2 linked regions of the Canis lupus familiaris genome follow. The protein of the gene in region 1 binds, or shares a complex with, the protein of each later gene. Links are inferred from orthologs where the notes say so. Each region holds a gene or a part of one and is shown on either strand. Other genes may lie near its edges. The genes, in order: BANP and IRF2BP1.

The links.
Region 2: BANP (region 1) and IRF2BP1 share a complex: the UniProt entries of both Homo sapiens proteins name them as parts of the corepressor complex. The link is inferred for Canis lupus familiaris from reciprocal best matches to the Homo sapiens genes BANP and IRF2BP1.

Annotation. Positions count from the first base shown.
Region 1 is NC_049226.1:65,737,960-65,742,541, forward strand, and holds the start of BANP (protein BANP), read right to left. Parts: upstream 2,865-4,582; 5' UTR 2,741-2,864; intron 2,140-2,740; exon of another isoform or gene 1,717-2,139; intron 1-1,716. UniProt on the Homo sapiens protein: Controls V(D)J recombination during T-cell development by repressing T-cell receptor (TCR) beta enhancer function. Binds to scaffold/matrix attachment region beta (S/MARbeta), an ATC-rich DNA sequence located upstream of the TCR beta enhancer.
Region 2 is NC_049222.1:110,448,792-110,453,307, reverse strand, and holds IRF2BP1 (interferon regulatory factor 2-binding protein 1), read right to left. Parts: upstream 2,978-4,516; 5' UTR 2,283-2,977; coding exon 528-2,282; 3' UTR 121-527; downstream 1-120. UniProt on the Homo sapiens protein: Acts as a transcriptional corepressor in a IRF2-dependent manner; this repression is not mediated by histone deacetylase activities. May act as an E3 ligase towards JDP2, enhancing its polyubiquitination. Represses ATF2-dependent transcriptional activation.

The sequences.
Region 1 (4,582 bases):
CACGACATCCGCCCACACTGCAACGCGGAGATGACCACGGGGACAATGCTCAGGGCATCGGTTCCACTGACGGATGGCATCCATTACCAAGAGAGGCAGCAGAGCAGAAAGACAAGAACGGGCTCTGTAATTCCTGCTCACAAGGAGCAACTTGCCACAAAGGTGATCTCTGCTCATCCCATTAAATTAATTTTTAATTGCATATAACAATCCCACAAGAAAGAAAATATGACACAGACAAGATACTTTGCAAATTTCTGGGAGACTGATAGGATCTAATGGAGGCAAAGGAAACCACAATCTGGGGCATACAGGAGTGGGTACAGCCAAAGTGGGTAAGCCTGTGGCAGGCCAGAACACTCAGCAGAGCACAGGCCGTTTCTGCTCACACCCTCCCTAGACCAGGTAGACCAATCCCAAATCAAAGGGATCTGGTCTTAAGCTGTAAGACCCACAGAAAAAGTCTCTGCAATCTGGCACTCAAAGTCCCACACAGTAACAAGTTCCCAATGACTTGAGGGGAGACCCACACATTTTCAAAACCAGCCCCACAGACTCAGAGCTCTCTGCCCATTTCCTCTTGCTTTAAACAACAATTACCAATATTTAAGGAATATTTGCCACATGAAGTATGAAGCCAATATTTTTTAAAAGGCAACAATGGCACTAGAGGAAATAAGAAATCAAAGAACAAAAGAATTGAAAAAAATCCCATGTTGGTATCCTCAAAATCAAGAATATGTTCACAAGTAGCTACTGGGGGGGGGGGGGGGGCGGGGAGAACACATAAGTTTTTGATCAATTTTCAACTGTGGAAATAAAAAATTTTAAACAGGATTGGAAGATAACTTGAAGCCCTCTCCCAAAAAAGAGAAGAAAATGACAAAAGAGGATAAAGACACAAGATTCAGTGGGTCAATCCAAGATGTCCATCATCAAAATAAAAGAGTAAATGCAGGGGAAATTGTCAGATACAAGAGGATTTCCCAGAGCTGAAGGGCAAGCGCCCAGAAGCACTGAACATCCACAGTGAGACTCCACATCCTAGGGCACTCTGGAAATGTCCTAACACCAAAGCGGATTGTAAGGAGTTACTCAAAACGAATAAGACTATTTGGCAGAAATGATATTGAAATGAAGAAAGCCAAGATTAAAACATGGAATCCTGTACAAACTGGGATGTATAATAAAGGAAAATATCAGAAGAATACTTGTACTGGCCTGAGTAATCAATCCAGATTAGAAAAAGAGGACAGAGGGCTGAGGAGGATGGGGGGGAGGGAGGAGTGGGGAGTTGGAGAGATGACCTTATCCCTTGATAATTTACAACGTAAAGAGTCAATGGGAACAGAGAATGCAAAGAAAAAGAAAGGCCACTACAAACAACAGAAAAAAACAGAAAGCTGTAGAAGTGAAAAACAGTATTTGCTCGGTCTTAAACAATCTGAGTCAAGTGAACACAGTGAATTAAGGGGATAGAAAAGGTGGGATATGATAGGAAGGGCTCAATCATCGTATGATAACAGAATGTCAACAATGTGTAAGACTAATAAAATACCAAGGTACTCTCCAGAGCTACGGAGACCTTCCCCAAGAGCAAAAAGATGTTAAGTCTTTGAGGAGTAAGACGGGGCTGTTGCTCTTCAACCTAAGTTTTCCCCTGAGGGTTTACCGTGTGCATGACTGCTAGATGTATTATTATTTAAGAGCACGGACCTCGGAGAGAGGAGTTCAAGGCCTTGGCTCCCCGCGTCTTGGACGAGTGTCCTAACCCCGGTGGCCGGTCACCTCTCTAGATGGCTGCGATGAGAAGCCCTGGGAGTGGTCCGCAGGCCCAGCCACAGCACAGAGCGCGGGCACGGCAGCCACTTCCAGACCCTAAGGCCACGGGATGTCCACGGAATCCAACATCCTGAGCACATGTTCTCACTTTAGTGCAACACAAGGGAGAACGAAGCTAAACAGAGACGACTCATCTCGGGGGCTGTTCCGCGGTCTCCCCGCCGCTAGATCCTCCAGATCCTCTAGATCCTCGTATGCAGGGCGGTCCGGAAGCGGAGTAATGGGCGGGCGGTCCCCCGGGTCCCTCACCTGGGGCGACCCCTGGACTACCCCGACCTTGGCGAGGCCGGGGGGTGCAGCCGGTGCAGAGGGCGCCAGGGGCGGCCAGCCCCGAGCCCCCCGAGCCCCCCGGCAGCCCCCGAGCCCCCGCGTCCTCGAGGAGCGCCCGGTGCAGGGCGCCCACCGGGGGCGGGGCGGGGCGGGGGTCTCGAGGCAAACCCCAGGCCGCACTCCCCAAGCCTGAGCGCTCCCCTCCCCTCCCCTCCCCTCCCCGTGAGCCCTCGGCCCCGCGGGGCGGGCACACCGGGCGCAGGGCGGCCTGCCCGCGGGCCCCGGGCGCCGACTGACAGGGGAGGCCTGTGCCCGGGTCCGTCCGGGGCGCGGCGCGGGGCCCTCGCGGGGGGCGGGGGCGGCTGGCGGGGGCGGCGGCGGCGGCGGCGGCCGGGGGAGCCAGAGCGGGCGGGGAGGGCGCCGGGAGCGGGGCGCGCCGGCGGGGCCGAAGGCGGCGGGCCGTTGGGCGGCCGCGCAGGGCGTCCCGGGCGGGGGCGGCGGGCGCGGGCGCGGCGGCCGGAGGAGGGCGCAGGGAGGAGGGAGGAGGGGAGATCTCGCTCTCGCTCTCGCTCTCGCCCCGCGGGAAGGGGGAGGTGGAGACGCGACCGGCTGCGGGAGCTGCAATTACCGTGTGGGCTGCGGAATTCTCGTGGTGTTTGTCGGGGAGATGCGATAATGGCGTCCGTCCTCGCGAGAGAAGCCGCCGCTCTGCGCAGGCGCCGCGAGTCCCTCCCCGCGGCCCTCCGCCCCGCCCCGTCTGCGCAGGCTCCTCACGCGGGGCGCGCCGGGCCCGGGGACCGGGCCAGGGGGCGGGGCCTGCCGCTCCAGGCCTCCCGCGCGCGCCTTCGCCGGCGCCGGCGACCGCCGAGCATGCGCACGCGTCGTCCGGCCGCGCCACGGTTGGGGCCTGGAATCTTTCCTTTCCCGGCGCGCGCTCCGTCTCCTCGCTAGCCCCGTGAGAAGTCGCGTCGGTGGACCGCGAGAGGAATTTACGTTTCTTCAGAGGCTGAATGAATAGGAATTAGGTGCGCGCGACGACTACATATCCCGGAGGGCTCTGCGCGAGCCGCGAGCTGAGGTTCCTGGGAATCGTAGTCCCGGCGTGTGCGCCAAGCCTGCTGGTACTTGTAGTCTCTCCGGACTCCGGCCTCCCGTCGGCGCCCGCGCCCGCCACTGCTGGGACTTGTAGTTGGAGACGGGGGGCCTGAGGCCGCTGCGACTCCGAAGGGGTGCCCCCGAGTAATAGCTGGTGCTCCGGGTCCCCGGAGTCTGACCACACTTCCCAGGGCTCACGCGTGGGGGAAAATGTGTGTTCGTGGTGTGACCTGTCCCGTGTGGAAGTAATCTCTGTGTGTGCGTATGTACACGAACATGCGGTGTGCATGTGGCTGTGTTACACGTGTGTAGCATAAGTGCTGGTCTGTTGGTGCTCGTGGGGAAAAACCACTGGCTGTACACACCATCCGGCAATGTTACTCCTGCTCACTGGTATCACTGTTGCTCTTCTTGTGCGTTGGGGTTACCCTGCTTTTTGTTTTCTTCTTTACACTTGCCTTTGTTTTCTGAGTTGTTTACAACGGGCAAGAATTTCTTCGGTCGTCCAAAAACAAGACTGTGGAGCTATTTTCATTTGGAAAAGAAAATGCTCTACTGTTTCTGTAACTTTCCTGCCTACTTCCCTTTTTGCCGATGATAAAAACCTGATTCTTGGAGGCAGTAACGAGCTGCTTGCCCTTGGGCAACCTTGCTAGTAATAGTCTCTTCCAGAATGCACACTTGGGGGATCTACCGAGGCTGATCTTTGGCTTAGCTTTACAGGAAAGGTGCCTTGAAGAAATTACAGAGAACAATCACAGAAGATCGGTGCTGGAAAAGATGCTCGCATTGAAATGAGAATTGTCCTGGGAGGAAGGGAAATTGCTCAGCAAGGTCACACTGCTGGAAGAAGACAAAACCAGGGTTTAGAAACCAAAACACTCTGGTCTAGAGTGTGCTCATAGTGGGGAAGAGGATGGCAGAAGCTAAACGTGCAAATCCTGAGAGATAAGTGAGGGCAATGTCTTCTATCCCCACCTCTGCCTCAACCGTAGCCAAAACTAAACACTTAACTAAGAATTCTTAACATGGACATGCAAATATCTGAGTACAGAGTAGATAAATGTAGACTGATCTTTTTGTTTTTGTTTTGTTTTTTTGTTTTGTTTTGTTTTTTGTAGACTGATCTTTTTCATGTTATTTCAAAATCTCAACAAAGCTTTTGTCTGTAGCTCTGTTGTGGATATGGGTTGCTGGCTCCTTCCTGGCGAGGCCTAGCACACTACTGGGTTCTATACCAGTGCTAAGTCATCATCAGGAATTAAGCCAATCAAAATTATAATTATACTTATGCCAGAGTCATGGACTTCTCTTTTACGTTTTTGATTATTCAGATTAATTTATTTTTCATTTTGCTGCCCAGAAAGCTCAAATA
Region 2 (4,516 bases), on another chromosome or scaffold:
CAACGGGCCCGCCTGAGTGAAGGGCGCCACCTGGAGGCTACAACGCAAAGTCCCTTCCCTGCAGGACCAGTTCGGTCCCAGAGAGGGCGCAGCATCTCACACAACTAAGGGACCAAGAAGGAAAAAAAAAAAAACCATCTTTCGGTTTATTGAAGGAGGAAAAGGGGGCGGGAGGGGGGGGCAATAAAATGCTTTTGCTTTGTTTATAAAGAGCGAGATTTCAGGAGGCCCCTTCTCAAGGAGGAGGGGGGCACCTCTCCCCCAACTACAAGCAGCAGCAAAGCCAAGCCAAGGAGGGGCGAGGGATACTGGAGGGGCCGTAGGACCCCAAACACCCCCTCGAACAGAAGCCACAAGCTTTCTCCCCCCACCCTCAATGCATCTACCCCAGGGGACCCATCTGGGATGAGGAAGGGGGTATGTACACAGGTGGGGGTAGCACTGGGCTGGGGGAGAGGGAATAATTTATCCGCAGAAGCGGTGGGTAGCAAGGGGGTGGGAGGCAGTAGACTGGTGACAGTGGTGGCCTAGGGGTCCCGTTCTTTCTTAACCTTGATGTCTCCAGCAAGGATAGTGGCGATCTCGCCCTGCATGAAGGCCCAGGGGACAGAGGAGCCCACCAGGGGGCACTTGTCTCCACTGGGGCAGTACACCTCCCCGGCAGGGCCCTGTGCCTTGATGAATTCCCGTGAGCAGGGAAAGCAGAACTTGTGTCCGGGCACTGAGGGGCACTGGACGAAGTGGGTGTCTTCCAGCCGCTCCCGGCACAGGGTACAGCACAGGGGGGCCCCAGGGGTCGCCCCGGTGCCGCTACCACCCCCGCTCACAGCTTCTGCCCCTGCCGTGGGGCTGACTTCTGCCTCACCATTGCGGGCCACTAGACGATGCTGGGCGGGAGGCTGGGCGGTGGAGGAGGCTGCGGGGCTGGCACCCCCAGCGCGTACAGGGCCCCCGCCCCCGCCAGGGTCCTTGGGGGAGTGGCCCAGGGCCTCCGCCACATTCTTCAGGGCGGCGATGGGTGAAGGCACACCGGGGGTGTCGGCGGAGTATGGGCCACCGGGCGCTACCCAGTGCCGCTGCTGCTGTTCCTCGGTGGTCATCTTGCCAGCCGCCTCACCCTCGGGCTCAGGGGATGCCTTGCGACGGCGTGGCGTGGGCGCCAGGTTCCGGGATGGGGCTCGCGGGGGTGGGCCACAGAGGGCTGCAGGGGCTGGCTCCGGGTACTGCTGCGGCAGGGCCTCGGCAGGAGCGGGCTCTCGGAAGCTGCGGACCCCGTCGGTGAGCAGCTCCCCCAGCTGGCGCCATTCCCCTGAGCCGTGCCTCCGTTCATATTCGAGGTACTTGAAGCCTGATGAGGCCAGAGCCTTGCCCGGCTCCCGCAGAGCATCATGAAACATCTGGCGAGCCACGGCCAGGACTCCTGCGTACACGTTGCCAGAACCACAGGGGTATTCGGTAAAAAGCTTCAGCTCGAACTCGTAGCCCGGCGGGCGGGCGGTAGCGTCAAAAGCGAACACCCGCCCCACCAACCCGTGATCCTTCTTGAAGCGAACGTTGAAGGGGGCGCAGGCAGACAGGGCCAGCAGCTGTTCCCGCACAGCTTTGGGGCGCCCGTGCCACTCCTCTGCCCGGCCACGCATGGCCTCGTTCAGTTCTGCCAGACAGTCCGCATTCCTCTGCTGCTTCTCCTTCTCGAAATCGGAGCCAAAAGCTGGACGGGCAGGACTCAAGCCGGGTGCCAGCGTCAGCCCTCGGCTTCCCAGGCCAGACACTGCAGCTGCCAGCAGCCCGGGGGGCACCAAGCTGGGCATGGAGCCAAGCAGGGCCCTTCGCGCCCCCTCCGCCACGGCCTCCTCCCGGCCCAGCCCATTAGCCAAGCGGGACCCCAGGGTGTACTCCAGGGCGGGCGAAGGCAGGGGGAGGCGGCCGGACGATGTGGCCCTGTCATAGCGGTCCTGGCCCGAGATGCCGCCGCCTGTCCCTGACGGCTGGGGCTGGGCCTGCGGAGGCGGTAGCTGAGGCCCCTGTGCGGCGGCCGCAGCCAGGTCCTTAGTGGTCGGGTGCTTGAGGGCTGGGGGCCCGGGGGAGCGGCCCTCGGGGAGCACGTGGCTGCGCTTGAGTTGGCGGGCAGCGTCGATGAGCAGCTCGATGCGATCCGCGCCCTCGAAGTTCACGCACCCGCGGCACACAGCCTCGCTGAAGTCCCACACCATGGCCCACGGCATCTTGGGCAGGTCGCACAGGTAGCACCACTGGCGGCGGGACGCCTGCACCGACGCCATGACCCCCGCGCGCGCGCGCCGCTGAGCCCCGGCGTTCCACCCGCCGCCGACGTTCGATCCGCGCCGCCCGACGTTCGATTCGCGTCCCGGGGACCGCGCGAGCCACAGTCAGGCCTCTCCGGCTCGGCCTCCCCGCGGATCCAGGCCCGGCCCCCCTTCTCCGCCCCCTGGGCCCTAAGCCTTTTTCCTCACTCCCGCCTCCTTGAAAAGCCTGTAGGAGGCACGTCGGCGCCTCCGCCCGCTCCGGGCTCCCGGCCGAGGCGCACAGCTCCGGCCCCGCGATGGGCCGCGGGCGCCGCCGCCTCGGGGTCCCGCCGCTCCCGCCGCCGCCGCCGCTGCAACGGCCGCCGCCGCCTCCACCTCCTTCTGCCCCAGAGGCCGCTTCGCAGGGAAAGTTACATAACGCGCCGGCAAAGCCTTCTGGGAAACGTAGTCCCGCCGGGGCCGATTCTTAAAGGGGACGGCTGGCGCCGGAGGAGCGGGCTCGCCGTCTCTCAGCCGCGCAAATCCTACCGCTCGACGCTGCCCGGCGGTGAGCTCGGCGTGCTCAGAGGAGCTGGGGCACTGGGGCTTGGGAGCGGAGATGATATCTGAATGGTCAGAGCTACCCCGGATTCAGACATGGTAGGAAGTGGACAAGCTTTCGGGCGTCTAGAGTCGGATCGGACTTGCTGTGCACCTTCAGGCAAAAGTCTTGCTCTCTCTGAAGCCCGATTCCCCGCCCATCAAAGGTGGGCCAATGACTGGTTAGGGAGGCAGCAGCTTCTGGGGCGGGGCGGAGGGGCTCTGATTGGATGGTTGCAGGGTAGGGGGGACGGGAAAGCTGGCAACTCGGGGAGGGAGGGTTCTGCTTTGGCACCTCGTTTTCCTGCTGTCTTGTGTAGCATTCTCTGAATTGGGCCGGGAACAGCCGGAGCGAGGGGAAGAACGGAGGCCTCTGGGCCAGGACTTGGCCTCAGTCGTCTCATCTATTAAAGAGAGTGGTGGAGCGCCCTCGAACTCCGTTCCGGCTCGGCCGCGCGCTCCGGTCTACAAAGGGTTACGCGGTGTTTCTCCCTCCCGCCTCCCCGCCACCGCTTCACTACAATTCCCAAAATGCTCTGCCGGGAGGATAAACTGACGCACTTCCGCTGTCTGGGAGGTGGAGAGGAGGCCTTCCCCATTCCCGCTGTCTCCCACCCCCGGCTCAATTTCTGGGCGCTTTACTTTTTGGGGGAGCACCAGGTTGAGGGAATCCTCATCCTCTACGGCTCGGTAATTTGGTGGAAGAGAAAGAGGCCAGAGATGGCGAGCAAGAGTTGTGGGGGGTGATTTTTCTACAACCTTGAGTGCTTACTACCTGATCGGACCAACCAGGTTTTGGGGACACCCCGCATCATCCCCCGGACTAGCATCGGGAACGGTGCGAGTCAGGCAGGAAGAGTTAGGGAGGGGAGGAGAGAAGTCTCCAGATTCTAACACCCATCACCCTCTTGCTCTCTGTAAGCTGGGATAAGCGCTCAAAAAATATCTGAATGGCTTGTCAGAGTTGCATTCATTAGTAGTTCTCAAACTAATTGGATTGTCTGCTTCCTCTCCCACATCCTGCTGCTATCCTAGCAGCTCTGATTTTGCTAGCCAATCAGTGTCAGCTTCACAATTTCACTTACCACCTGGATTATTTTCTGGAAATTGACTCCCCTGAGGTGGGGTGTGTGTGTGTGTGTGTGTGTGTGTGTGTGTGTGTAAAGGCGTTAAAAAGGATTACTTTTGCCTCATCCTAAGAAATACAAGCATACCTCGGAAATATTGTAGGCTCCTTCCAGACCACCACAATACAGCAAATCTAGCAACAAAGCAAATCAGATGAACTTCTCGGTTTTTCCAGCGCGTCTAAAAGTGAAGGTTACGCTATGCGCGTGCGCTAGTATGACGTCCAAAGAAACAACATATATACCTTAATTTTAAAATATTTTATTGCTAAAAGATGCTAACCGTCATCTGAGCTCTGAGTTTTAGTCACTGATCACAGAGCACCATACCAAATGTAGTAATAATGCCAAAGTTGGAAATATGGCAAGAATTACCAAATGTAACACAGACACAAGTGAGCGACTGTTGGAAAAATGGCACCAATTGACTTGCTTGACACAGGGTTGCCACAAACCTTCAACTAGTAAAAAATAAAAAAAGCAGTATCTGCAAAGTGCAATAAAGCAAAGCACAATAAAGCGAGGTATGTCTGTATTATGTGC